Drosophila melanogaster: one gene and its partners. Changing the gene in region 4 together with the main gene of any one other region gives a genetic interaction. Each region holds a gene or a part of one and is shown on either strand. Other genes may lie near its edges.

What was found.
Region 1: of Cat (region 4) and Pink1, changing one suppresses a phenotype caused by changing the other (phenotypic suppression), as found in Drosophila melanogaster (one study listed by BioGRID).
Region 2: of Cat (region 4) and fh, changing one suppresses a phenotype caused by changing the other (phenotypic suppression), as found in Drosophila melanogaster (2 studies listed by BioGRID).
Region 3: of Cat (region 4) and Trxr1, changing one enhances a phenotype caused by changing the other (phenotypic enhancement), as found in Drosophila melanogaster (one study listed by BioGRID).

The regions. Positions count from the first base shown.
Region 1 is NC_004354.4:6,681,771-6,688,786, forward strand, and holds Pink1 (PTEN-induced putative kinase 1), read left to right. Parts: upstream 1-2,070; 5' UTR 2,071-2,300; exon of another isoform or gene 2,301-2,357; 5' UTR 2,358-2,691; intron 2,692-2,747; 5' UTR 2,748-2,786; coding exon 2,787-2,951; intron 2,952-3,015; coding exon 3,016-3,801; intron 3,802-3,864; coding exon 3,865-4,878; intron 4,879-4,942; coding exon 4,943-5,143; 3' UTR 5,144-5,268; downstream 5,269-7,016. Other genes in the region: Fum2 (fumarase 2), read left to right, coding at 66-143, 200-364, 449-652, 736-1,540, 1,601-1,860; CG44303 (uncharacterized protein), read right to left, coding at 5,269-5,532, 5,593-5,595; CG3184 (uncharacterized protein), read right to left, coding at 5,900-6,970.
Region 2 is NC_004354.4:9,146,248-9,150,985, forward strand, and holds fh (frataxin), read right to left. Parts: upstream 2,825-4,738; 5' UTR 2,766-2,824; coding exon 2,448-2,765; intron 2,379-2,447; coding exon 2,124-2,378; 3' UTR 1,833-2,123; downstream 1-1,832. Other genes in the region: CG7065 (uncharacterized protein), read left to right, coding at 1-1,376; Bap111 (brahma associated protein 111kD), read left to right, coding at 3,176-4,738. UniProt on the Drosophila melanogaster protein: Promotes the biosynthesis of heme as well as the assembly and repair of iron-sulfur clusters by delivering Fe(2+) to proteins involved in these pathways.
Region 3 is NC_004354.4:8,240,688-8,248,872, forward strand, and holds Trxr1 (thioredoxin reductase 1), read left to right. Parts: upstream 1-2,894; 5' UTR 2,895-3,041; coding exon 3,042-3,372; intron 3,373-3,501; exon of another isoform or gene 3,502-3,743; coding exon of another isoform or gene 3,744-3,810; intron 3,811-4,700; exon of another isoform or gene 4,701-4,939; coding exon of another isoform or gene 4,940-5,057; intron 5,058-5,406; coding exon 5,407-5,752; intron 5,753-5,822; coding exon 5,823-6,049; intron 6,050-6,120; coding exon 6,121-7,007; 3' UTR 7,008-7,346; downstream 7,347-8,185. Other genes in the region: CG2147 (uncharacterized protein), read left to right, coding at 83-197, 252-634; sni (sniffer), read right to left, coding at 891-1,456, 1,518-1,569, 2,264-2,389. UniProt on the Drosophila melanogaster protein: Thioredoxin system is a major player in glutathione metabolism, due to the demonstrated absence of a glutathione reductase.
Region 4 is NT_037436.4:18,819,777-18,828,943, forward strand, and holds Cat (catalase), read left to right. Parts: upstream 1-2,827; 5' UTR 2,828-3,009; coding exon 3,010-3,066; intron 3,067-6,561; coding exon 6,562-7,482; intron 7,483-7,579; coding exon 7,580-8,122; 3' UTR 8,123-8,412; downstream 8,413-9,167. Other genes in the region: HipHop (HP1-HOAP-interacting protein), read left to right, coding at 1,531-2,196. UniProt on the Drosophila melanogaster protein: Catalyzes the degradation of hydrogen peroxide (H(2)O(2)) generated by peroxisomal oxidases to water and oxygen, thereby protecting cells from the toxic effects of hydrogen peroxide.

The DNA of each region.
Region 1 (7,016 bases), on a different chromosome or scaffold from region 4:
TTCTAGATCAGATCGTTTTGTTGTATATGAATCGCTCGGAAACACAGAACCAATAATAATTGAAAATGCTGAAGCAAAACAATGGTCTGCATCTGGCTAGGCGCAATCTCTGGGTGGTTTGCAGTGGCCTCCGTGCCAAGGATGTAAGTACGCGACAATGGTCGCTGGCAACTCATGGCTACATGGGGCATCTTTGCAGTGCGACAGTGGCGGTAAGGGCGGCAAGGGCAAGGAGAATGGCAAGTTTCGTACGGAGAAGGACACCTTCGGGGAGCTAAAGGTGCCGGCGGACAAGCTGTACGGCGCACAGACGATGCGCTCCAAATTGAATTTTCCCATTGGCGACATAGGCGAACGTATGCCGGTAGGCAACCAACCAACCAACCAACATATTCTGGCATCTACCAAGTGCTTTGCCATAGCCAATTAATCCCCAAACTGCCCGCAGATGCCGGTGATCCAGGCCATGGGCATACTGAAGAAGGCATGTGCCGAGGTCAACAAGGATTACGGACTAGATGGCAAGGTGTCGGATGCCGTATCCTGCGCCTGCGACGATGTCATTTCCGGCAAGCTATACAAACAGGGTCACTTCCCATTGGTCATCTGGCAAACCGGTTCGGGCACCCAGACCAATATGAACACCAACGAGGTAAGATTGTTAGATAGGGCTAACGAGAGAAATGTGTATAGCTGGATGCTTCTCCTGCCCCATGCCATTGGCAAACCTACTAGGTGATCAGCAATGCGGCCATTAAGATGATGGGCGGCGAACTGGGCAGCAAGAAGCCGGTGCATCCCAACGATCATGTGAACAAGTCGCAGAGCTCCAACGACACCTTCCCCACGGCCATTCACATTTCGGTGGGCATGGAGCTGAACGAGCGGCTTGTTCCGGCGGTTACACACTTGAGGGATGCCCTCAAGTCCAAGTCGGATGAGTTCAAGGACATCATCAAGATCGGACGCACCCACTTGATGGACGCAGTTCCGCTGACTTTGGGCCAGGAATTCAGCGGTTATACACAGCAGTTGACCAACGGTCTGGAAAGGATCAAGGGCTGTCTGCCGCGCGTCTATGAGCTGGCTCTGGGCGGCACTGCTGTGGGTACGGGTCTGAACACACGCAAGGGATTCGCCGAGAAGGTGGCCAAGCGCATTTCGGAGCTAACCTGCTTGCCCTTCGTGTCGGCGCCCAACAAGTTCGAGGCACTGGCTGCCCGCGATGCCATGGTGGAGGTGCATGGTGTGCTCAACACGATCGCCGTCAGCCTGATGAAGATCGCCAACGATATCCGATTGCTGGGATCGGGTCCGCGTTGCGGTCTGGGCGAACTAATGCTGCCGGAGAACGAGCCCGGTAGCTCCATCATGCCCGGCAAGGTGAATCCCACGCAATGCGAATCAATGACCATGCTGTGTGCCCAGGTGATGGGCAATCAGGTGGCGGTGACCATCGGCGGCTCCAACGGGCACTTCGAGCTAAATGTATTCAAACCCCTGGTCGTGTCCAATGTGCTGCGCTCCATTCGCTTGTTGGGTGAGTCGGAAATGTGTTTTCCAAGTGGAAAAACATGCATACATAACCTTCTCCTCCCAGCTGATGGCAGCATGACCTTCAGCAAGAACTGCGTGGAGGGACTGCAGGCCAACAAGGAGAGGATCGACAAGATCATGAACGAGTCCTTGATGCTGGTGACCGCGCTGAATCCGCACATTGGCTATGACAAGGCCGCCCTGATCGCCAAGACGGCGCACAAGAATAAGACGACCTTGAAGGAGGAGGCACTGAAGACCGGAATTACCGAAGAGCAGTTCAAGGAGTGGGTCAATCCCAAGGAGATGCTGGGACCGAAGTGATTCGCTGTGCGGCTATTGACGATTTTGTTTTAGTTTCGTGTAATAAATTTTTGTGTGTAGCAGGATATTTCAATAGATTGTATTAATTTGTTGATTTTACGGCAGGTGAATAACGGTTTTTAGTTTTTGAATTCTCCAAATGATTCGAGTCCACACTACGCGATAGTCATTATCGATTCTAAAGATATACCGTAAGTGTGGTCACACTAACGCCTTGCTGTTTCTAAATTATTCCGTTGTTTTTATCGTAAATTCTTGCACACTTAGCTATTATTTTATAGCGAAATATAAGCAAAGCAAGCTTTTAAACAAGTGTTTATTGCGGCGCACATTTTCCGTGACAAATGAAAAGATCCAGCTGACCAGCGATTATCTAACGACCAAATCGAATCGAAACGAAACGTTGAAGTAGGCGCATTACATTAAAAATTGGCTGCCAGGCAAGTTGGAGGTCGTAAATTAATCGTTTTGTTCAGTTGAAAATAGCCCAAAATCAGTCTAGCCCACACAGATATCGAAAAAGGCGATATATCTTTGGATAATCATTGCAAAAATAAACCCTTTCGATTCGACGATTTCGCCTTGTAGTTCTGCCACCACCGCCCCCACACTTCGCCCCGCAGCTGCACCACAACCACCACCACCCACAAACAGAAAATTTATTTGCGACGCAAAAACAAAACAATCGAATCGAAACGAACCGAACCGAAACGAAACGACAGCAGCTGTTTGGTTATAAATCGGCGCTATCGATCGCACACATGAGCAAAATTGGCGGAGAAGAAGAGGAAGCAGCAGCAAGAGTTAAGCACCACAAATCTTAAAGAATAGGTAAAAATTAAAAATTAAATTAATAGATGACAGACCGTTTAAGGTGCTTCATTCAGTTGCAGGCACTAGGAGCCGAGGTCTTTGCGGGCCGAAAGATGTCTGTGAGACTGCTGACCGTGCGACTGATCAAACATGGTCGCTACATTTTGCGCAGCTATTGTAAACGTGATATACACGCCAACATTTTGGACCAGAATCAATTGAAGACAAGAAGCAAGCGAGGCTTTCCCCTACCCTCCACCGCTGCCAATGTGCTGCGGGTAAGTCAAGCTAAACGGATGATCAAGGCATGTCCAATTAACCCGCATCCAATCTCTTCGCCAGACAACGCCCCAGCAGGCGGCCAAATCGGTGGTCAATGTAGTGCCCCGCACCATCAACTCCCCGTCGGGATCACCGTTTAATGGCAGCGGCAGTAGCCCCACCAGCAGCAGTGGAATCTTCCGAGTGGGCCAGCATGCGCGCAAATTGTTCATCGACAACATCCTCAGCCGGGTGACCACCACCTACTCGGAGGATCTGCGCCAGCGCGCTACCCGCAAGCTATTCTTTGGCGATTCAGCGCCCTTCTTCGCCCTGATTGGCGTTAGTCTGGCCTCCGGATCGGGTGTGCTCAGCAAGGAGGATGAACTGGAGGGCGTGTGCTGGGAGATTCGGGAGGCAGCTAGCCGGCTGCAGAACGCCTGGAATCACGACGAGATCTCCGATACGCTAGACAGCAAGTTCACCATCGATGACTTGGAAATCGGTCCGCCCATAGCCAAAGGTTGTGCCGCTGTCGTCTATGCAGCGGATTTCAAGAAAGATGTTGCCTCGGATGGTGCATCCCTGCATACCGATGCGCAGCCGCAGGCAACGCCAGCCTTTGCGCCGAATAGCTGGAGTACCCACGAGATGATGTCGCCGCTGCAGAACATGTCGCGCTTTGTTCACAACTTTGGCGGCTCTGTGGACAACGTCTTCCACTACAGCCAGCCATCTGCGGCCAGTGATTTCGTGGGCGCCCAGTCGAGGGAACAGGACCAGCGGCACCACGAGCAACAGCAGCATCAGAATCAGGAACAAGAGCAGCATCAGAACCAGGAGCCCAGCAGCAGTGCCTTCAATGTGGTAAATATGTAAGCTTAAATCTGCATGGCAACTTGCCATCACGCTCTTTGCTTTAACTTGCAGACTTCTCCAGCGAATTCAAACATCAACAGCTCTGTGGACAGTTATCCACTGGCACTCAAAATGATGTTCAACTACGACATCCAGAGCAACGCTCTGTCCATACTGCGTGCCATGTACAAGGAGACGGTACCGGCACGCCAGCGCGGCATGAATGAGGCCGCCGATGAGTGGGAACGTTTGCTGCAGAATCAAACTGTTCACCTGCCGCGGCATCCGAACATTGTCTGTATGTTTGGCTTCTTTTGCGACGAGGTGCGCAACTTTCCCGATGGCCATCTCCTGTATCCGGTGGCGCAGCCGCAACGCATCAATCCACAGGGCTATGGCCGCAATATGTCGCTGTATCTGCTGATGAAACGCTACGATCACAGTCTTCGCGGCCTGCTCGATAGCCAGGATCTGAGCACGCGCAATCGCATCCTGCTGCTGGCTCAAATGCTCGAGGCTGTCAACCATTTGAGCCGTCACGGCGTTGCCCATCGTGACCTAAAGTCTGATAATGTGCTAATCGAGCTGCAGGACGATGCGGCGCCGGTGCTAGTGCTCTCCGACTTTGGCTGTTGTCTGGCGGACAAGGTGCATGGCCTGCGCCTGCCGTACGTTTCGCACGACGTCGACAAGGGCGGCAATGCGGCGTTGATGGCGCCAGAGATCTTCAATACGATGCCCGGTCCGTTTGCCGTACTCAATTATGGCAAGGCCGATCTGTGGGCTTGCGGTGCCCTGGCTTACGAAATCTTTGGCAACCGCAATCCGTTCTATTCGAGCAGCGGTGGGATGGCGCGCGAACGCGGTGAGATGACGCTTTCGCTGAGGAACAGCGATTACCGACAGGACCAATTGCCGCCAATGAGCGATGCTTGCCCGCCGCTGCTGCAACAGCTGGTCTACAACATCCTCAATCCCAACCCGTCCAAGCGGGTCAGTCCGGATATTGCGGCAAATGTGGTGCAGCTGTTCCTCTGGGCCCCATCCAATTGGCTTAAGGCGGGCGGCATGCCCAACAGTCCGGAGGTGGGTCGCAGTGTTTGATACCACATCAGCATCCTTTTAAGCTAATTATGATTTTTTTTTACAGATCCTACAGTGGCTCCTTTCGCTGACCACTAAGATTATGTGCGAGGGTCGTCCACAGATGGGCGCCGGATTGATGCCAGTGGCCAGCTGTGGCAATAGGCGCGCCTATGTGGAGTACCTGCTCATATGCAGCTTTCTGGCACGCGCCCGGCTGCGTCGCATTCGCGGCGCCCTCAACTGGATCCAGAATGTGGTGGCGTAGGAGAAAAGCCTTCTACTTGTTACTCTGAGAAAATCAAATGGAAAAGCGTGTGATACCTATATTTTACATATGTATTTATAAATGAAATCAAAATTAACGCCAAAAGCACGCCTCCGGTACAATAATTATTGACCCTCCTGATCTTTCTGATTCTTCAGCTTCTGCATTTTCGCCACCAGCGCCTCCTGTTTGACCAAACTCCTGTCGAGCTTTTCCATCACCTGCCTGATCATAATTTGGAGTTCCGCAAGATGTTTCTCCCAGGCCACATTCTGCTCCTCCAGCTCGATAAGCTTATAGAGATTGGCCTCGTTTGAGTCTTCGATGTTGTCTATAGCCTGATCCAGGCTATCCTCGGCGTCCAACTTGTTTGGATTTTGTGGGGGATGCTGTGCGGAGTAGAATGAGGAGTTTATAAAGTTAGCAGGATCTCTACGTTTAGTACTTACCATAACTAAACAGTTCAAGTTCATTCACTTCTCTGAATTCGCAAACTTCGAATGAAAATGCGCTGACAGAACTTACGATAACCGCACCAGGGCTGAGCCGATTGCATGCGTTATCGATATCGCCTGCCAGGGATGTTGGCAGTTTAAAATTAGTTTTGGAAAACTTAGGATATCCCAAATGCCATGAACAATTCTGTTTTTTCCGCAAACTATTATACAAACTATAGATAGTTGAAAAACATAAGCCAGCAAATGTTTATTTTTCTTTTAGTTTTTAGTCACATAACATAATATACAGATATCGAATTCATTTGTTAATATCCACGCGACTCACACACAACGTGTGATCATAAAAGGAGCAAGTGGCCATGGTCAAGGACGCATCGTCCTTGTTTCTCCATGGTGCCCAATCGGCCCCGTAGCAGATGCTCTTATGCTCCTCATAGGCGCCCAGTAAACTCAGGCCAGGTGCCGCGACATCCAGCTGCACCACGCTAAAGTTGGTGTACATGCAGGCGGCCAGGATGAGATCGGGCTGGGCAGGATGCGGCTTCAGCCTCCAGATGCCTCCGCTCAAGTCCAGTTCCGCCAGTGATCGCTTCATCGATCTGGTGTCGAAGAGACGCAACTGCTCATCATAGCTACCCGTGAGCAGATGGTTTTCGTGCCGCGGATGACTTAGCAGACAGGTGACTCCAGCCATGTGCGCCCGGTTGGTCCACGCACGCTGCTTGGTGCGCAGATCGTGGGCCATGAGCAGCATATCGTCGCCACCACTGTACAGAATGTGCGGTGACCAACGATCAAAGGCACAGGTCCAAGCCTCAAAGCCATGGGACAACCACGACCGTTCGCGGATTATCTCACCCTGTGATGAGTAGCTCAATAGATTTAGGCCGCCTTTGGAATCGGAGATGGCCAGTCGGATGTGCTGCCCGTCATGTTGCCAGTCTAGGGCCAGCGCCAATGGCGCTTCCTCCGACGAATCCTGCTCCGCCAGGCTAAAACACGTACGCCTCTGCAGTAGCTTCGCATCCTGGAGAAACTCGTACAATTCCATCTGGCCTAAAGAGTTGACCGTGGCCAGGTGGGGATTACACTCACTGCTCCAGGCCGGCAGCCACTTCATGTCGAGAATGGCAGACGTTTCGATGCACTGTAGCCGCTCCAGGCGGCAGTTTTCCTCTTCAAACTGGTATAAATAAACGCGACCCTTGCGTGGACGCTTGGCTGAAGTCTCCGCCGCCGGCTCGTCCTCCTCCTGGACCAACTGATAGGTGCCGCAGGCAAAGAAACCCGTTGCCGCATCATCGTGTGTCAGCCACTCCACAGAATCTGCCGAATATTCCGTATCCTCGCTGTGGAGCGTTGTAAACATGTTTATGAAAAGATGTTATCAGCAATCGATAACCGATAGCCACTAG
Region 2 (4,738 bases), on a different chromosome or scaffold from region 4:
AGGTAAAGCTCGGACTGCAAAATAATCCGTCGCCCGATGACATGGGCATCGATCTGGACGAGCTGATGAAGGAGGTGGAGCATCAGCTGCACAAGGAGTCCGTCGATATTGTGAATAAACCTACGGGAGCACCGGCCAAGGTACAAGCCGCCGATACAGTCGGTGGCAGCACTGGCTTGGAATCGCTAACAGATTCAGATCTCCAGACCCTACTCCAGAACTTTAAGTTTTTGTCGAACGAGGAGCAGGTTCATCTCATTGGCCATCTGCGCAAGTTGGAGGTACAGGATCCGTCGCGCGTCGATCGTCTGCGCAAGTATGTGAATCTGGTGGAGCTCCGAGGCGATGGCGAGTCCTGCAGTGATTTCCTGGCGCGCGTGGTGAAAATTGGTGGGGCTAGCAAGGCGAAACCGGCTACCAAGTTCAAGGCTTCGGTTATGGGTGGTAGAACCTCCTCCGCCATGGCCGCCAGCTCCGCCAGTGCCACGGCTCCGAAAGTGGGTCACTCCATGCTGAGCGCTCAGCGCCCCAATTTGGATCGTGATATGTCCAGTATGCCCATCAATAAGCAGAGACGCGGCCGGAACACGCCCAGTATCATGCTCGATGACGATGACGAGGAAGATGATGATTACAACTTTGATGATTTGGTGATGAAGGCCTGCGATTCGAATGGAAGTGCTAGTGCTGGTGGTGGTGGTGGTGTCGTTGGTGCTGGTGTACACAATAAGCCAGGAGTGCCGCCCATTATAGGCGTTGAATCATCGCCAAATGCGCTCACTTTCAAGCCAGCAGCAGCGACCAAGATTTCGCTAAAAGACACCGAGAACATCATAGCCAATCTAATGGGCACTTTAAGCAAGAATGGCACTTCTGGAGGTTCACCCGTGGGTGGCAATCGCAACTATATGATGAACCAGCAGCATGGAGCGCCAAATGCGCAGAATGCACCGAATTTGGGTCAGAATCCAGGCCAAAATCTTGGCCAAAAGCAGCCCGGAGCGGGCTATTCCAATGCGGGCTATCCAGGGCAACAGCAGCAGCAGCAGCAGCAGCAGCAGCATGGCCGCAACTTTGGCCAGGAGGCACAGCCACTGATGAGCGGCTTGAGCGGCGGACCGAATGCCAATCACTATCCAAATCAGCAGGGCTACGGCGGCTATCATCCGTTTGCGGGCAATGGCGTGCAGCAGAACTACGGCGGCATGGTGCCACCAGGTCCAGGTGGCTACGTGGGTCCGCCCCCTAATCCGTGGGCCAGCAATGTGCCGCCACAGCCGCCCTTCAACCAGATGCCCCAGAACTTTATGGGTGCCCAGCAGCAGCAGCAGCAGCAGCAGCCGCACTTTAACAACATGTTCGGTGGACGTCACTAGAGTGTCGTAGACTTAGATATCCATACTATTAACGTTATGCAATTTAAACGTAATGTAGAAACGAGAATAACGCCCTTTGAAGTGCCCGTGTATCTGCTAGCTGGCAAGTGATTTTTATTATTTTTTTTTTTACCATACATGTGTGCTGCTGCCAAAAAAAAGAAAAGAAAATAATCACTACCTTCATTTGTTTATAAAACACCGAACAACAATAGAATTCAGAAAACATAAATCTGAAGAGCACGTGAATAAACATACACAATAATTCCGGAAATCAACTTTAATCGACTTTCGTTTGGAATTATTAGCTGGGGGAGCTTTGAGTTCTGAATTCTGTGTATTGAAATAAAAATAAACGAAATGGAACGTACAAGTGACAAATAATAAAATAAAATAAAATATGTATAGCTACATATGATGTTCTTCAATGGTGATTTGATTATTATTATTTGATTTATACATTAAACAACTGATTTTTAAGTTTATTCCTCTCAAAAACAACAAATTTAAACTTCGAAACCAAAACTAATCGTACATAAATGAATAAGCGAATGCAAAGCATTTATACCAGAAGCTAAGCTTCACAGCTCCAGGGAAGTATAAGTATATACCTTTGCTCATCCGCAGCAGCAGCAGTTCCATGTATATCGAGTGACCACTGTGCCAACAGATGAAGAACAATAAATATATCAAAATCGAACGTTTCAACCGACTTTTTATGGAGGAGAATTTAAACTAATCACGGAATTAACTACAGTAGGGCAGGCGTAGGAAGTCCACGGACTGTGACTTCAGTATGCCGGGTATCTCCTGCTGCAACAGTTCGTGCAGCGACTGACCACTGTGCTTGTAGATCCATCTGCCCGCCGCCACAGTGCCGACGAAATCGTATCGCTTGGGACCGCTGGTGGGCGAACTGAGCCAGATCTGCTTGTTGGGCGTCTGCCGGTTGATCACATAGGTGCCGTGTTGTCCTCCCAGGTTCACGGTTAGCACGCCATCCTGTGGAAGCGGAAACCCCGCGAGGATTAGCAGGTCAATGGAATGATGTAATAGCCGAATGTCACCTACGCTGTAAGCCACATCCGTGCCCTGCAGCTCGGAGGCGTTCTCCGTCAGCTCCTCGAAGTAGTCGCACAGTGCGTCCAGGGTGTCGGAGCACACACGCTCGTAGGTGGCGCCGTCCAATGTGGATTCCGTCTCAATTTGACTGCTAAACAATCGCCGGTTGGCAGTGAATTCCTCGCATTGAATAGCAACTGCGGCTATCGCTGGTGTGCTGGGCAGGATCACTTGGCTGGCGTGTGCTTGGGGCTTTGACCACCTGCCCATGGTGGCCAAGCATGCCCGACCAACGATCGAACGGACCATCAAACGACCGGCAAACATTTTTTAGTTGTTTACGATTTGTTTATATTTTACAAATCCCAGTTGCGGGGCTGCCAACTTAATGGAAAATGATTTGCCGTTGGTATTTTCTAGATTCTAGTGTGGTATAATTTTTGATTTCTATAAAGCTGAATAAAAATGAGAAGTTACAGATTTTTTTTATTAGTAGCAGCAATTCAGCTAAAGTGTTCTGCTAGTTTTAGGTAACTAAAATTTTGTATATTCTCTAGCAGTTACTATTTCCTTATCATATATATTCCGCTATATATACCAATTCCCGGCTTATATGATTTTTCTTAGAATCAGATACGGCCACACCTCCACCAACGCCGACAGAAAATGGCGTCTGTCTGAAAATTGTTATTTCTCTTGGAAAATCCATACAAATTTGACCAGCGAATTGCACAAAGATGGCCCTGCCAAGCAACTACAAGCAGATAGCCGTTGGCGGCCAGGGATCGGCCACACCACTCCAGGGCGGCGGCGGTGGCTCCGGCGGCGGCAGCCGGTCGCGTTCATCCGGCGGCGGAGGTGGTGGCGATCGCAACAAGGATCAGACGCCCATCTTCACGCACAGCAACTATGGGAATCCGGCATTCACGCCACAGAAGGTAACCAAGTCGTCGAGCAGCAAGAACCAGAACGAATCAAGGCTACCCAAGCCACCAAAGCCGCCGGAGAAGCCCATTTTGCCCTACATGCGGTATTCGAAACGCGTCTGGGATAGCGTCAAGGCGAAGCATCCAGAGCTGAAGCTGTGGGAGCTGGGTAAGAAGATCGGTGCCATGTGGAAGTTGCTGCCCGAGGATGAGAAGACGGAGTTCATTGACGAATACGAGGCGGAGAAGCTGGAGTACGAGAAATCGCTAAAGGCCTACCACCAGACGCCCGCCTATCAGGCCTACATGTCGGCCAAGAGCAAGGTGAAGACCGACGTGGATATGCATGAGACACCGTCACGCGGTGGCGGCAGTAAGTCGCAGCATGAGCGACGCATCGACATTCAGCCGGCGGAGGACGAGGATGACCAGGACGAAGGGTATACGACCAAGCACTTGGCCTACGCCCGCTATCTGCACAACCATCGCCTGATTAACGAGATATTCTCGGAGGCCGTTGTACCAGATGTGCGTTCAGTGGTGACCACCACGCGGATGCAGGTGCTCAAGCGGCAGGTCAGCTCGTTGACGATGCACCAGACCAAACTTGAGGCGGAACTGCAGCAGATGGAGGAGAAGTTCGAGGCCAAGAAGCAGCGCATGGTGGAGTCCAGCGAAGCCTTCCAGGAGGAGCTAAAGCGCCACTGCAAGCCGGCGGTCGACGAGGAAACTTTCCAGAAGATGGTGCTTCGCATGTACGAGGACATCAAGCGCGATCGCCAGCGATTGGATGAACCGAATGCGAATGCGAATAGCGCAGCGAATCCTGCTGCAGCTGCCGCTACAGCTGCCGCCGCTCCAGTGACGAGGAGCGAGGAGGCAGTGAAGCCGCCAACGCAGCCAGGTCAGCCCGCTGCCACACCCGCTGGCCAAGAGCCGGCGTCGGCGGTACCAGCGCCAGCAGCTCCGCCCAAGGAGACACCGCCGGCTGTGAAGCCCGCTACACTCAATCCCACACCGAGTTCAACGCCTACGCCGGCGCCAGCGGTGCACGTGCACGAAACTGCCAGCAAAACGGATCCCGAGCCCATGGACATTGAGCCACCGCCGAAGCCATCGGTTCCGCCGCCACCCATCAAGCCAGAGAAGCTGGAGATGGCCGCTGCCCTGCCTCCGCAGTCAACGCTAGTCGAGCCACCCAAAACGGAACCCGCCAAAGTGGTGGCCCAGCCCGGCAAGGTGCCCACACCGGTGCCGACACCCACACCGCCGCCTGAGGTGGCTCCAGCGGCCGGAGCAGCTACTGCAGCGACCACAACAACGACGACGACACCAACGCCACCGCCGGTGCCACAACAGGTGCCACTGCCGCAG
Region 3 (8,185 bases), on a different chromosome or scaffold from region 4:
AGTGAAGCTAAAATCGTTTTGTTTCCGTTGTCAAAATCCAGCAGTGAGAAGGGAGCGGCACAATTAGAATAAAGAAGCCATCATGGATCCAACACCGCCGCTTCGTGCCACCAATAGTATTAACCCACAGCAGGTGGCAAGCGTTCCACCGCCACCGCCAACGGGGCAAATCATAGCTCCATCGGGAGCGTTTCCTGGTGAGTTGATTCCGCTTTCAAATCGTGCCAAGGCTAAACTTTTCCATCGCACAGGATCCCTGACTCCCGGCTGGAATGACCCGCCACCCATTTCGGCGGATTCTCAGAGCTGCAAATTAAACAATAGTCGTCCACGCCTAGATCTTCGCAAGCGCGTGGCCCACCCGCTGGACGGGAAGTCCTCTAGTGTCCAGCTGGTTCAGCCACAACTATCAATACCTACAGCACAAGATTCAATCTCGCCGCGTCCCGTGGCCCTGGTAACACCCCAGCGCCAGATTCCATATCCGGATCCCAACAATCCACCGGCCGGTGGAGCGGATGTGGGCGGTTTCGGAGCGGGACCAAATGCCAATGCCGTGCGCCTGCCACCGTTGGCCCACAGCATCAGCATCGATCCCTCCAGGGTGGCCAAGGTTCCACCAAGAACCAAATAGCATGTAGTTATCGCCAATTCAGGGCCTAGGCTAAGGAACTTCAAATTAATGTGTTCTATGGCGGGCTGGAAAATCAATTATTTTTCTATGTAAAACACTTAAGACACCTCACAAAATACAATCAGAAATGCGAATGATGGGGGGACGGGACCTCTAAAAAGTAAACCCAAGCGTTTCTTGACTTTAGGAGTCCAGTTTATTCAACAACAATTAACAGACAGAAACAAAATGCAGGTAAACTAACCGCTGTCATCGTTTACCAGGCCAGCGGAGTGCCGTCGTAGTTGACAAAACCGCCGTTCTGTTTCTCGCCCAGCTTGCTGATGGTCTGCACAATTTGTCCCGTGCTGGTGGGCACGTCCAAGGGGGCACTGGAGCCACCCATGTCGGTTTTCACCCAGCCAGGATGCAGACTGACGCACATGATGCGTTGCGGATACAGATCCACGCTCAACGACTTGGTGGCCGCATTCAAGGCCGACTTAGAGGTGCGATAGGCGTACATTCCGCCGTCCGTGTTGCCCTGGATGGAGCCAAGGATCGAGGACATGTTAATAATGGCGGCACGGCCCACGCCCATCGGCTGGGATTCGTTCGCTTTGGCTGCCTTCTTAAGGAGCGGCAGACACGCCTTGGCCAGCATGATGGGCACAACCGTGTTGGTCTGCAAGGTGTCGAGCAGCTCCTGCGATCGAACGGCCGTTATCCTGGCCGATTTGGGCGCTATGCCGGCATTGTTGAAGAGCACATTGAGGCCTTGGTCCTTGGTCACGCCCTCGATGTCGGCGACTAGCTTGTCATAGGCATCGAAATTTCTCAAATCTGCACGGAAAATATATTTATATGCGAGAGTGTTTAGCGGCTGGTAAAACATAATGCTTACCAATCTCAAGTATGTGTATGTTCGAGTGGTTCTTGGCTAGATCCTCCAGCTCCTGTGGGCCAAATTGGGAAAGACAAAATGTTTGAATAAGAAGCACATTATTAGTAAAAAAGCAGTTTATATATGAATAATTTTCCAGTTAAATTACTGTAATTTTTAGAGGCAAATTTGGTATTTCATGAGAGTTTAAATAGCGCGCCCAACGAGCGCGTTAGTGCCATAATAACCGATAGACGATAAGTGCTGCTGGTGTGACCGAACAATAGTCGGCCCAGCAATCGACAAGCCAATCGACGTCTCCCTTTCGCACGCTCGTACGAAAGTACAAAAGCTATTGCAAAAGTTGGCTCCGCTTATTCGTTTCGTGCTTTCGCGAGTGCCGAGAGCCGCTACAATACACGCTTAGCAGTTTTTACATTTCCGCTTCGACTACAACAACATTCACTACCCGCCGTTGATCCTTGTTTTCTGTCTGATTTACGTGGAGCACCTACCAACAAGCAACAAAATAATGGCGCCCGTGCAAGGTGAGTTTCACAGTTAATTCGATTCCAATTGAACCATTCAATTTATGCATGCCCATTTGGACGATTAAAAAGCGGTTTGTAGAAATAGTGGCTCTTGTGGATTGTTCGCGTAGCTTCTGTAGTTTCTGTAGCTCGACGGTTGTGAGTCACCGGTTTTGTTGGATTACTGGATTGTCTTAGTAGAGAGACAACGCAAAATAAGAAGAAAACATCTCTCACCTTTGCCTGCTCGCGATTCCGGCAGGTGGTAAATAGATGCTGCGGCGGCTGGGGAAGATTGAGCAGCGCCTTGACCAGGCCCAGACCCAATCCTCGATTGCAGCCGGTTATCAGGATGGAGTTCATGTTTTTTTTTTCCGAAGATCCGCGATCGAGTTGCTCGAAATCTTATCGCGTCGTACTTGAGATAAAACCAATAAAGGGCGGCACTACTATACGGGTTCCGTGTGTTCTGTGGATTTCACCAGACCCGCAGCCAGATCTTTCCGTGCTTATCAATCGACTTTATTGCCGTAACACAAGCGTGAAAATAGTGAAATGTTAGGAAAAATTTTGACGGCCGGCTGTTTCGTTCGGACAGCAGCAGTGTTACCAACCATCCGCGAGTTATCGATACACTTGCGCATTGCCAAACGTGCGTTTCGCACATTTCCAATTGGCAAAGGGCAGAACAACTGTTGTGATGTTCAAATCCCAAATGGAATTTCGCAATCCAATGGATGCTCCTTTATGGCAAATCCATTTTATCCCAAACATTCTCGTTTTTGCGGTACGCGCTCTTGCGCCCTCTCTCTTTCTCGCTGCTTCTGTTACGTAGCCGTTTATCGGCGCCTCTGCCTGCCCACCGCTTTCGCAGCATTCCCGGCCGAACCAGCGAACGTGTTTGTGTTGTGTGTTCCGCCGTCATTTTTCTGCACCCTTTTCGCGAATAGTTTCGTTTCGCCTCCAGCTGGTAGAGTGAAACGCCAAACGTTGAAGAAGGGGAAAGGCCAACAAGATGAACTTGTGCAATTCGAGATTCTCCGTTACGTTCGTGCGGCAGTGCTCGACGATTTTAACGTCTCCTTCGGCTGGCATTATACAAAACAGAGGCTCACTGACAACAAAGGTTCCCCATTGGATTTCCAGTAGTCTCAGCTGTGCCCATCACACGTTTCAGCGAACTATGAACTTGACGGGACAGCGAGGATCACGCGACAGTACTGGAGCTACCGGTGGGAATGCTCCAGCCGGATCCGGTGCCGGCGCACCACCACCCTTCCAGCATCCACATTGCGACAGGGCGGCCATGTACGCGCAACCGGTGCGAAAGATGAGCACCAAAGGAGGTGAGCATCGATATCGATTGATATTCTGATTAGATCTTTGCTGTTGCCGCCGCAGCTGCTGCTCCTGTTGCCGCCGGTTGGCAACGCGGTCGATTGTCGCGGTTTTCTTGCTTGTTGTTTTTTCTGGGTCTTCTTGTGTTTAACCGACGCCATTATGCAATAACCGTTAGTTGCCTGGCCAAAAAGTCCATTACTCTGCTCTTATTACCTGGCTTATCGGGTTTCTGCGGCACGTATTCGCCAAGGGTTTATATGCCTGCCCGGCATTTGCTGTCTCACATTTGCACCGTCATCGTCAATCGTCATCGCGCACCCGCTCCAACTGGAATTGTACAGTCGGGGTCGCGCGAACAGCACTCGAAACTCGTATCATGCTGAAGTACATGATTTGCGCCATCGTTGTGGGCGCCAAAAAGAGCACATCCTCTAAGTATAATGGTCAACAAAGTTCTGAATCGCGTATAAATACTATGTCAGTCGAATTTTTTTAATTGAATTATGGATTGCTCATAAAACCATTACTCAATTGCAGCTTAAACAATATCAGTTATTTGCCTCAAAAAAGAATTACATCATATGACTTAACGAATTAATAATATTTGTTAAATTACATTCATACAAGTCACTTGTATTGCCATTTTGCCTTTAGCTGGTAAAAAAAAACTAATATCTATTTATATGAAGTTAAACGTATTTGATGTTTTAATTTGTAATATAATATAAATCCCACATGCCACGATCAAGTTTTCTTGTTAAATGAATAATTAGCCAATCGAGCAGATACGAAGCTTCTAATTCCGAAAACAATAGAAGAATTTACTTATAAATATATGCCATATTCTGATTTCAAATGGTAATTAAGGGTATAATAGGATTTCTTAAAGCACCAACGTGATATGTGTGATTTTTGTCGAATGCGGTGCTCTTGAACGAATAACCCTTTGCGGAATGTTCGAGAATCGCTTTATGATGATGATGATGATGATTTCACCATATCAGTCGGGTGCATTTATTCCCTTTATCTGTGTTTTCTATTTCGTATCTCTCGTATCCGTCGCTCAACGAGCGCCCGCCATCGTCTTTGATCTTTCATCATCATTGCTGAGCTGCGTCATCACCACTTCATTCCGCAATTAATTGCAGTGTGACGACAACAATTGTTTATTTGCACTCGCATTCGTACGTAGCCACCTGATTTCCCCCTGTTCCTGGCCAGGATTAGCATTCCGTCCGATAAAAGCGAATTGTGTGTGGTGTTGCCAACTAGTTTTGGGGCGTAACCATGACAAAGTCCGGCGGGTCAAAGCAAACCGAATGGGGGGGCGTAGGTGGACGGACGGAAGAAAGGCGTGGCCGGGCTGGGATGGGCGTGGCTTGGTGTGTGGCGATGTCGCTAGATGATTGCTCCACTTTGATTCGAACTCCCACTGACCCAGTGGCATGTGTGGCATTCGGCAGCACTATCGCTACCTGGCAACTGAAGCCAAGGAGCTCGACGGGATTGCACGGTGCAGATTACGGATTGCAGGAGGCCAAACAGTCTTCGTTCCGCACTTCTTTGGTCTGGATGCATCTGTTCGAATTCATACCGGCTTCCCAGTTGGTCGAGGGTGAACCACGCCACCGGAGGAGCATCTACCGATCCGCCTATCTGGACATACGACTGCGCGAGGAGTCCACCAAAGGCAGGCGGGGATTAGCCATAATCATGAGTGAAGCTAAAGAGAAACTTGAGTAGTTGGCACCACATGGCTAATTGATATCATTACCTATCACTGATAAGGATTTTCAACTAATCTAGATACTGGTTAAGAACAAAAACAGACCATGCCAATACAACATGGCTATTGATGTTACTAACGGTGATAAGTTTTTAATAATACAAGGTGAATTGGCTGTGCTACGATTAGATTTCCTGACGGCTCCTCATGTTCTGTGACCTCTTGACCTCTTTAAGCCCAATTTTGGCAGTAGATTACATATTTCTATAGACAAAAGGCGATGAATCAAACGAAAACCTTTTTTCTCCTGCAGGATCCTACGACTACGACCTTATTGTGATTGGAGGCGGCTCAGCTGGCCTGGCCTGCGCCAAGGAGGCAGTCCTCAATGGAGCCCGTGTGGCCTGTCTGGATTTCGTTAAGCCCACGCCCACTCTGGGCACCAAGTGGGGCGTTGGCGGCACCTGCGTGAACGTGGGCTGCATTCCCAAGAAGCTGATGCACCAGGCCTCCCTTCTGGGCGAGGCTGTCCATGAGGCGGCCGCCTACGGCTGGAACGTGGACGAAAAGATCAAGCCAGACTGGCACAAGCTGGTGCAGTCCGTACAGAACCACATCAAGTCCGTCAACTGGGTGACCCGTGTGGATCTGCGCGACAAGTAAGTGTGACTATATCTATGGCTTCCGCTCGAGCATCCCCACTAATTATACCCTTCTATTTGCGCTCAGGAAAGTGGAGTACATCAATGGACTGGGCTCCTTCGTGGACTCGCACACACTGCTGGCCAAGCTGAAGAGCGGCGAGCGCACAATCACCGCCCAGACCTTCGTCATTGCCGTTGGCGGCCGACCACGTTATCCGGATATTCCCGGTGCTGTCGAGTATGGCATCACCAGCGATGATCTGTTCAGTTTGGACCGCGAGCCCGGCAAGACCCTGGTGGTGGGAGCTGGCTGTAAGTAGCTACTTTCATTTGCTTACATCAAATTGATGAATAACCCATTCGGTTTCTGCTCTTTCACTCAGACATTGGCTTGGAGTGCGCTGGATTCCTGAAGGGTCTCGGCTACGAGCCCACTGTGATGGTGCGTTCTATTGTGCTGCGTGGCTTCGACCAGCAGATGGCCGAGCTGGTGGCAGCCTCGATGGAGGAGCGTGGCATTCCCTTCCTCCGCAAGACGGTGCCGCTGTCCGTGGAAAAGCAGGATGATGGCAAGCTGCTCGTGAAGTACAAGAACGTGGAGACCGGCGAGGAGGCCGAGGATGTTTACGACACCGTTCTGTGGGCCATCGGCCGCAAGGGTCTGGTGGACGATCTGAACCTGCCCAATGCCGGCGTGACTGTGCAGAAGGACAAGATTCCAGTGGACTCCCAGGAGGCTACCAATGTGGCAAACATCTACGCTGTCGGCGATATCATCTATGGCAAGCCAGAGCTGACGCCCGTCGCCGTTTTGGCTGGCCGTTTGCTGGCCCGCCGCCTGTACGGAGGATCTACCCAGCGCATGGACTACAAGGATGTGGCCACCACCGTTTTCACGCCCCTGGAGTACGCCTGCGTCGGCCTGAGCGAGGAGGATGCCGTCAAGCAGTTCGGAGCCGATGAGATCGAGGTGTTCCACGGCTACTACAAGCCCACGGAGTTCTTCATTCCCCAGAAGAGCGTGCGCTACTGCTACTTGAAGGCTGTGGCCGAGCGCCATGGTGACCAGCGCGTCTATGGACTGCACTATATTGGCCCGGTGGCCGGTGAGGTTATCCAGGGATTCGCTGCCGCTTTGAAGTCTGGCCTGACTATTAACACGCTGATCAACACCGTGGGCATCCATCCCACTACCGCCGAAGAATTCACCCGGCTGGCCATCACCAAGCGCTCCGGACTGGACCCCACGCCGGCCAGCTGCTGCAGCTAAAGCGGGAACGCAGCTCAGCCGCCTGGGACGTGTCGAAGCCGCTTGCTCCACCCGAAATCCCGTAGATGAATGGTTGTTGTCGCGGCCCAGCGATCGATGAGTTCAATAGTTCCGTTTCGTTTCCACAATTAACACCCAACACAATAGCTCTGCGCAAGGGAGGGGCACTGGGCAGCGATGGCGGGTGGAACGACACCAGTGGAACTACCCGCGCGACCAGCCCAACCCACGACTGCTGCGCCGCCGACATGCACTCAAAATTTTGAATTTGTTTGAACCTATGAAATTAACTATGAAATCCCCTAAATGTACGGTTGAAGAATATAATTTTTCACCAACAAACCCCTCTGTGTTTCAGTTCTGTGCATTTCCTTTAAAACATACCTCGACCTTTAGCCCTTCCTCTGCCTTTTCAATCAAGTAAGTTCATTAGCCATGCAAATGGCTTGACTTGACCTGGCTAAATCGATTCTGTCTGCCAGCCTGACAACTTGTTAGCCACCCGACTAATTGCTAATGCCATTGCTAGGGGAATCTTTGCCCTCGAGGGCTATAAATCAGCTACGAACGATGGCACCCTGGAGATACATATATCAGTGGGTAATAAATTATACTTTAGTTTTCAAAGGAAAAACAGTGCGTGATAAAGTGTAATAGAAGCTACGAAAAGGTTGAAGTTTATGACCTAAGGAATCCTCGCAAGCAAATCAAAATCAAATTAAGACAGTAAATTGATGCAATCAATTAATGAACAGCAAAGAGAATTCAATAGCTTCTATAAGGAATTAGCATTAATCATATATGTATGTATGGAACACTTTCGAGGTGGTATCTCCGATTGGATGCCACGAAACAAAGCGAGATGGCTATACTATGAACCAAGCGACTTGGAATAGCCCAATATACCCATAGTGAAACCCAACCCATTGATAAGTCGCTGTTGTGATATTTTTTCTATTACATTTTTATTTTGGTTTTCCTATTTTTCGTATTGAATAACTCCTTTGTTTTGAACAACGTAAGACTTTTTCATTTACAACTGACGCAGCGCTGGCGCCTCTGCAGCCGCCGATCGTGCTCCTCATCCCGCTACTGCGCTGGCTCTTCCCGCGGCTCGTCCTGGTGTCTTTGTGTCCGTTAATTAGTGGGCGAGTGCGGCGCGAAAGGACGAAGGGCAG
Region 4 (9,167 bases):
TACGTCGCCGTCGTGTTGCTCCTTTTCGTATTTTACATTTTTTTTAGCCGTGGGAAACCTGTCCAGCAGCCTTAAAGCCGCTGTTTTTGTTGCTTTTCGTTTTTTGGCTAAACATTTTCATTGCTAAAAGAGCACTTGGGACTTTTATTTTCATAATTCATTTATCGCGCTGTAGTTGTGCGTATATTTATAAAGATAAAAGCAAGCAAACAGCGCAGCAAAATTCCAAATAAATAAAATTATTGTTGCTCAACGTTCATTGCCACACACACTCACACACGGCCAGACACTCACCAACACCAGCAGACAACGAGTCAGACACACACACATGCATACACTTTTTTTGGGGCAGCGTTTTTTGTTGTTTCAAGGCAACTTTATTTCTTGACTCTTTTTTTTGTATTTTCCTCCCCCGCAGGGAAACAAAGAAAATTTCACTTGTCTCGCACACTCACACCACGAAGCGCGCACACAGACACGGTGCCTTTCCCAAAGGAAATATTATTTAAAACATTTATTGACACAATTACAAGGTTTTTGCTTCTTTCGCTCGACGTTGTTATTGTTGTTGCTGTGGTTGTTGCCGCTTGCTTGCTTTTTTCTTGCTGTTGTTGTTGGCCTACTTTGTGTGTTGTTGCTGTATTTTTTCTCTCCTCTTTTTTTTGTTGCTCCAACTTCTCTCCTTTGCTTTGCTTGAAAAAATTTCACACGCGCCGTTTCTTTTTTTGTCTCTTCTCTTTACGTAAATTAGATTGCCATTTGAAGTTATCTTTCGAGGGATTGCACTTGGTATTAAGCTATATTATACATATACGTGTTGCACTACATTATATTTATAAAAATTATGTGTATTCGTTTGAAATTTTAATTGTGTTTTTATAAAAAGAAAATCAGACGAGACGAACGTATGAACAATGAATGACAAAAAATAACCTGGGTTTAATGGGCTAACATTTCGCGTCCAACAGCACGCTGAGTGCTGTTCGGCGAGCAGCTGATTTTGCAGTTTTCGGTATTTTCAGTATTAGTTGGTATAATTACAGTTTGATTTGAATGTGGTTTTAGGGTTTTAAAAAATGTGTTTTTAAACTCATTTTAATTGATACAACCAACAGAAGAAATACAGTCAATTTTCAAACTAACTGATATAACATAAGTATTTCATGAACATCGAACACGCCAATAATTAGATTATTGTCAATTTTAAACGAATAGTTTCTTCATATTAATTACTTAACTGGCATTACAATAAGCCACATTTAAATTGTGAGAAACTGTGACCATGTCAGTATGTTTTTAGATTTTATAACATTTAAAAAAATTGAATTTGTTTATTAGTTAAATGCATTTTATTTTACGCCTAATTTTGGTATATTTCAGCAATCCATATGTGGTCACACTATATGTTTCCAAAGTGGCGGGACAATTGGCTTCATGTTTCGTTTTGTTGCGTTTGGAAGTTAAAATGCCAGTGTAAGCATTGTTTTGTAAGCCCGAGTTGTGGAGAACTAGGTGCATGATCTATTCCAGATGGCCTCCATTGACGAGGGCTCGCGCGTTGAGCGGAGATTCTGCGCAGTCGGCAACCACACGCTGCGGAAGCCGTATCGCCAACTGAACAACAAATATTTGGTGCGCTTCGCCTGTTTGCTGAACAGCGAAATTCGGGCGGGCAACCTCATCTGCTGCAAGTGCTACACGGACCTGGTGCGACTCTACCGGAAGAAGAACGACAATGCCAAACGGCACAAGATGGCCAGGGAGACTGCCGCGAGCATTACGGACGTCAGCGGCAGTCAGTCATCGTCGCACCAAAGTGCGCCCTCTTTGCATGTCTCTGGCCAAAGTTCCGAATTCGGTGCCTCATACAGTGAGGGGGGCATTGTGACTCCCGATGAAGAGCTGTGCTCCCACAGAAGCTTAAGTCAAGATTCAGACAATGTGCCCACTACCAGCGCTGCAGCGATCCAAAAACGCCAGCTTGCGAGGGCAAACCTAATGGTGAAACCATCGCAGAGGCTGAGCTTGGCCCAGACTACTCCGGATTGCGACGACTACGACCCCAACTCGAATCTCAGTTTGAACGCCGTGAATGGCACGCGACTGCCGCACATTCAGCCGATTCCAAAGAGGCGCCCGACCGTCCTGGACAAGCAGTCCATGGATATTTACTTGATGGGAACCACAGGTGGTTAGGTGATTTTTTTAAGTTGTGACTAGAGAACAAGATACATATGCTAGTTGATGCTAGTTTCTAAGTTTCATTTAATTAGATATTTTTGTACGCTAAAATAAAGAAAGACAGAGATGTTAGCTTGGCAGGAGCCACAGAAAGATAGCCGCCATTTGGAGATTTCCTTGAAGTTTATAATTTTAACATGTTTAATGATATTTACATATATTATATGAATGAAGTACATTTATTTTAAAGGCACCACTGGAAGAGGTTCACAACTTAAGAAAAAAAGAGGCCATAGATATTTATTTGGCAGGAGCACCAATAGATAGCCGACTTAGTTTATAACTTAATGATGCCGACATTTTCATGAAATTAAAAAAATAAATAACTTAACAAACAGTTTAAATTTATTCACCTTTCTGGGCAGCAAATGGAGCGAAGGTACTATAAATTATCAATAATAAATCTTAATGGTGTTGGGACACGTTTTTAAATGGACAGTGCAAAAAAAAAACTTTGAAAATGAATTTCATACTATTTAAATACAAATATGAATAATAATGGATATTATGTAATATTTAAGCGATATATTTCCAACTATAATCGAAATATCGATATCTTCGGCCCACTCGACAACCCTGAGCAACAACAAGTACGTGGTGCTGGGCTATAAAAACAAATGGAACTGCGCTGCAGTTGCTTTAGTTGACAGAATTCTCGACGCAGTCACAGCAAAAAACCGAAGGCGGCTAGAAATCAACAACTTTCCAGTTCGAGTGTTTCTAAATTCTGGTTATCCCGTTGAGCAAATATCCTAAATTTTAAGCAAAATGGCTGGACGCGATGCGGCTTCCAATCAGTTGATTGACTACAAAAACTCCCAAACGGTGAGTGTGTTGGTGTGCGAGCGCGAGAGAGCGCAACTGCATGTGTGTGCGTGTGTGTGCCGGCAGGAAAATAAGAAAACAAGAAAGGCAAAAAAGACAAAAAGAGAAGGGAGAAGCATTGTACGAAATGAAATAAACAAAAAACAAGACAATTTCAGTAACGATTGCTATGAGCCTGTACTTTCCATTAATTCCATTAATTATTAAAATGCGAAAAACAACAAAGGCTTGTCCAACAAATGCCAGTAATGATGAAGTCGTTTCCCCAGAGTTCGAAGTTCAAAAGCCGCCTCTCTGGGTCTTCTATTTATTTGTAGAAATCTTATCAGAAGTGAACTGATAAACCTTATCAGTGTGGCAATTCTTATTGGATTTGTGTTTTCTGTACCTAATCCAAAGTTAATTTTATTTTCCCTTTTATTTTTATTTTCCTTCTTAAGGAAATCCAAAGTTTAGTCTAGCTAACCTATTTTCTAACCTTGGGCGACCTCTTACCTTAGTCTATTTTCATTTTTCAGCGCTGTTTTCACTTAGCACTTCCAATTTCATTTGGCACTTGCATTGTGCATTGGATTTGAGTATTCGAATTTGTTCGTTTGCACTTTTGTGTTAATTATTCGCTTTCGCTTTTGGTTTAGATTAAATGCATGATTTCAATTGTGGAATCGTGCCCTCTTAAAATTTTGAACAAATATTGTTTGTTCACACTCGGAAAATTGTACTTTCCTAAATTCGTGGCATTCCACAATTGCAACATTTTATACACTGCAATCATTTTTGAAATCAAATATGCTGTTACATTTTATAAAAAGGAATGAAATATAACAAAATCAATAGTAAGCCTCACCCATAGATACTGTATCTATATATAATTTACTCGGCAATTTCCCTGTGGTTTTCCCAATGCCCTCTAAAAATCGATAAATGAAATAATAATTCTGCATAGCTATTTGTCAGCCAGTTGATAGGCATCCAAAACAGCTAAGTAATTGGCCCAAATAGATTAGATGTATCAGCCGTATAGATATTGTTGAGTGCCCACATTTGGTTAGTAACTAAAGTAAATTTCCATTGGATTTCGATACTTTGTAAGTATGAATTGTCAGTTCTCAAAGAATACAATCATTTTTTGTTTTTTAATTTAGTATACCTTTTTTTTACCCTATTCAATTAAGGCTAAATCTAGAACTTAGTTCTCGCATCAGCGATTTAAGTGCATTTGTGCATTGAGTCACGAAGCCAATTACTCCACTAACTAAAAGCAATCAGCGGTCATTATTTTATATAAACAAATATAGATATGAACTTTTTGAGAAACGCGATCGCTGGATTGCACCGCTTGTAAGTTGGAAAATTCGTTGGGAGTCAATGGACTCTGCGGCGACCGGCTCAATGTTGCACAAACTGGTTGCAATGCGCATCGACTGCGAGTGATTCGAGTGACAACGAACCCGGCTTTAAACCCGTTTTGGGTTGAGTGCGGAAGGCTAGACCGCTTCGGAAAATGCGTGTGCCAGTGCCATAAGTCAACGCAAATTTTCTTTCTCCAATTTGGTTATGCAACCTGGCTGGAACGCCCGGCTAAAAGCGACTGTATGTGAGAATATGTTTCGAACTGACCCAGAAAAGAGAGCTAGCTCCACAGTTGGTTGGTTGGTTCGTGTTGTTTTAGTCGATTTTGACCTTCTATGACGAAACTGTGAAAACTGCATTCTGTCAGGCAATTAAATGTTTGCCTTTGTTTCGGTGAATAATCATGGCAACTGGGTTCTTTGTTCTTTTGGGAATCTCGCAATCGAGTTAATTTGTTATCCAAGAAATTCGAAAATGCAAGGAAAATACTTGGAATATTTTGCAACGCAATGCATATTGCGTAAGGTCATTGTGAGTCGGTTAAGAACCCTATAAAAATCCTTATTTAAAATCCTTTAGCTTATTTTCTATGCATTCTCATTCTCGAATGAGTAACCTTCTGCTGATAAATTATGTCTAGAAGGCAAATTTATCTCATACTATCAGGTGCACTGATCTTATAAAGCCGCCTCATTAAGTTGCTGTTTGCCATCTTTGTGTCATTGGCATCGCCAACAAGTTGCAATTAAAAACTTTCCTGTAGACTGTGTTCTTTGCATTTCTATTCGAGATCGGTTGCGGTTCTCTTATCAGTTTGCTCTTCGCTGGAGATATCTACAACCAAATACATACATACATATATAAGAACGAAGGCTCTGATAGGAACCAGATTGACTTGTTGGACGTGGATCGCAGTTCCAGCGGTTCCACTCGCATTGTCATTCCCGGTTTGCTTCACTTATCGTATCTGCCCCCTGAAGTGGCCCCATATTAATGTCTCAAAGTGCAAAACATTCCGGCTGAATCGGCCGAATCTAAAGGGTGACTCCAGTATAAATTCCAGAATGATAATTTCGAAATTATATTCATTTCTTCGTTTTTATGTAGCGCTTTTTGTTTGTCAATAAGTGGGTATACTACTGGCCTGTCTAAGCTGATTTTATTATTAAATAGATACATATATACTTCTAGGAACTAAGATTTGATAAAGTCAACTACTAATTCCTTAAACAATTGTAAAAGTCTTAGTGCCCAACCGGGTAATCCCAACCCAAGTGCTATATGTATCTAAATGACTTTGTTGTGAAATATAAACAGTAGCTTAATTTATATGTTTGACACACCACCACCACCACCACCGGTGGCTTCACTTTGATAAACAACCTTCTGTATAAAATTCTATATGCATTGTTCTAGAAATGCTTTCGAATTAGAATTTCGCATGGCGTTGTTCAGGTTTCAAATACATTAGCTAAACAGTGCGCATTGGCCGGTGACAGTTTTGCAAATTGTTGGCTGAGTTAATTTTATAATGAGTGGCTGGCCTGCATGCGAAATAAACGATAAGGTGATTAAGGAGCGGTCTCGGATTACTCTAGGGAAATGAATTGAAAACAAGGAGTATGATTAGATCGACTGATAAATGACAGGACAGCTGGTGGGCTAATTGATATTTCAGATGGACAATACACTTTTATTAGCTTAATGGAATGAAATAATTAATTGATCGCCAGCTAATAAACTGTGTAACATCATTTTGATGTTTGAATACTTTCATTTAATTGGTTTTTTCCTTGCACACGGATTTGATATCTTGACATGTTAATGCAAAAAACCCATACATCATCACTATATTAAGGCCTCAAGCTCTTAAGAACACCTGGGATCTCTTATTTTAAATTTATATGCACTGCAAAATGACCCCCCGTGTAGAGATAACGCTCTGCAATCTTTATGTTAATGTTTTTTTCTTTTGGTGAAAATCGAATGATTAAATGAAAGTCCGCGGGCCAAAAATGAATTATCGCAATAGGCCCGATAAGATTGTAAGACACTTGAACCAATATATTGTTGCTGAATGTTGCATAGCATTTTAAAATTAAAATACATTTGATTAAACTTGACTTTCATTTGCTTTTGCAGGTTTCTCCTGGTGCCATTACCACCGGCAATGGAGCACCCATTGGAATCAAGGATGCCTCCCAGACGGTTGGTCCGCGAGGACCTATCCTGCTGCAGGATGTGAACTTCCTGGATGAGATGTCGCACTTCGACAGGGAGCGGATTCCAGAGCGTGTCGTGCACGCCAAGGGAGCTGGTGCTTTTGGTTACTTTGAGGTGACCCATGACATCACCCAGTATTGTGCCGCCAAGATTTTCGACAAGGTCAAGAAGCGCACTCCACTGGCCGTGCGATTCTCCACCGTGGGTGGTGAGAGCGGATCTGCGGACACCGCCCGCGATCCTCGAGGATTTGCCGTCAAGTTCTACACTGAGGATGGCGTCTGGGATTTGGTTGGCAACAACACGCCGGTCTTCTTCATTCGCGACCCGATCCTATTCCCCAGCTTCATTCACACCCAGAAGCGCAACCCGCAGACGCATCTGAAGGATCCGGACATGTTCTGGGACTTCCTCACCCTGCGACCGGAGTCCGCTCACCAGGTGTGCATCCTGTTCAGCGATCGCGGCACCCCCGACGGTTACTGCCACATGAACGGCTATGGCTCGCACACCTTCAAATTGATCAACGCCAAGGGCGAGCCCATCTATGCCAAGTTCCACTTCAAGACGGACCAGGGCATCAAGAATCTGGACGTGAAGACCGCCGATCAGTTGGCTAGCACTGATCCGGATTACAGCATTCGCGATCTGTACAACAGGATCAAGACCTGCAAGTTCCCCAGTTGGACGATGTACATTCAGGTCATGACCTACGAGCAGGCCAAGAAGTTCAAGTACAACCCCTTCGATGTCACCAAGGTCTGGTCGCAGAAGGAGTACCCTCTGATTCCTGTGGGCAAAATGGTGCTGGATCGCAATCCCAAGAACTACTTTGCTGAGGTTCGTTTTTTTTTTTTGTTTCAAATAGATTCTTCTTCATTTGAGATTAATGCAATCAAAAGAAAGATAACTAATATGGTAATTTTCTGACCCTCAGGTGGAGCAGATCGCCTTCAGTCCCGCTCACCTGGTGCCCGGCGTTGAGCCCTCTCCGGACAAGATGCTGCATGGTCGTCTGTTCTCCTACTCGGACACCCATCGCCATCGCCTGGGACCGAACTACTTGCAGATCCCGGTGAACTGCCCGTACAAGGTGAAGATTGAGAACTTCCAGCGGGATGGAGCCATGAATGTGACGGACAACCAGGATGGTGCCCCCAACTACTTCCCCAACTCGTTCAACGGTCCCCAGGAATGCCCCAGGGCCAGGGCCTTGTCCTCCTGCTGTCCGGTGACTGGAGATGTCTACCGCTACAGCAGCGGCGACACCGAGGACAACTTCGGCCAGGTCACCGACTTCTGGGTGCATGTGCTCGACAAGTGCGCCAAGAAGCGTCTGGTGCAGAACATTGCCGGCCATTTGAGCAACGCCAGCCAGTTCTTGCAGGAGCGGGCCGTCAAGAACTTCACCCAGGTGCACGCCGATTTCGGTCGCATGCTGACCGAGGAACTCAACCTGGCCAAGTCCTCGAAGTTCTAAGCTGAGCGAGCGGATTCGACGGATCAGACTTGGTTTTTGGCCTTAATTACGATTAATCCAATGGAACTAATTATTCCAACACCAACACCACCACCACCAACACCACCCATTCCGAAATTGACTAAGAAAGGCGAACGCTTTTCGGATCTTTGGTTGCGGGCTTAAATTGATTTAACCACGAAATGTGTCTTGTCTTGTTTTGATATTCAAAATTGTTTAAGTCATAAACAAATTACACTTACAATGTATATGTATATGCAATGAATATATAATAAATTCTTTATTTTTTGATATAACTGTTTGGAGATTCTTTAATTTTTTGGGTCACTTATAGTCGAGCTCTTAATTCCCATTTAAATATTTCTTCGGTACCCTGAGAAATTACTACTTCGAATGATTGAACTTAATCTTAATCAAATTTGTTCCTATGAAATATACATCAATTTAATACTTTTTGTAATGATATTTTTATTACCATTATCTCCTATGAGTAAAATGTTTTATTTCTCCGTAATTTTGTAAAAATATGTATTTTATTTGATGAATTGAAATTTCAGCTACAAGTGTCCAGTAGATGTAAAACTGTGCCAGTGAGTCTTAAACCTTTTCAGTGAATCGCGCATCCCTAGCAGGGCGAGTTATCGATTAATTCGAGTTATCGTTATACGAAATGCATGGCGCGCTTTGAACATCAAACAAAATAAGTTATTGAAATAAACAAACGTATAGTATTATTGTCGTTTGAGCTTTTTATTATTTAATATTTTTTACAAACTATATAAAACATAAATCATCTGAAAATGTACACAGTATCATTTAAGCTTAGCCTACCGCTATTTGTGTGTTCATTTTGGTTCGCAATGAAGTATTGAGTGAGTTGTTCATTTAAAAATTTTTACAAGTTGAAAAACATGTATGAATATGTAAGTTCTCTCAGTCTAGTTATTTAAAATATTAGCAGGCCAGGGCTGCCATTGAACAAACTGTTCTAACTTTTCCAAATCTTTTCCATTTTTATGCTAAATGCAACAATTAAGTAACATTA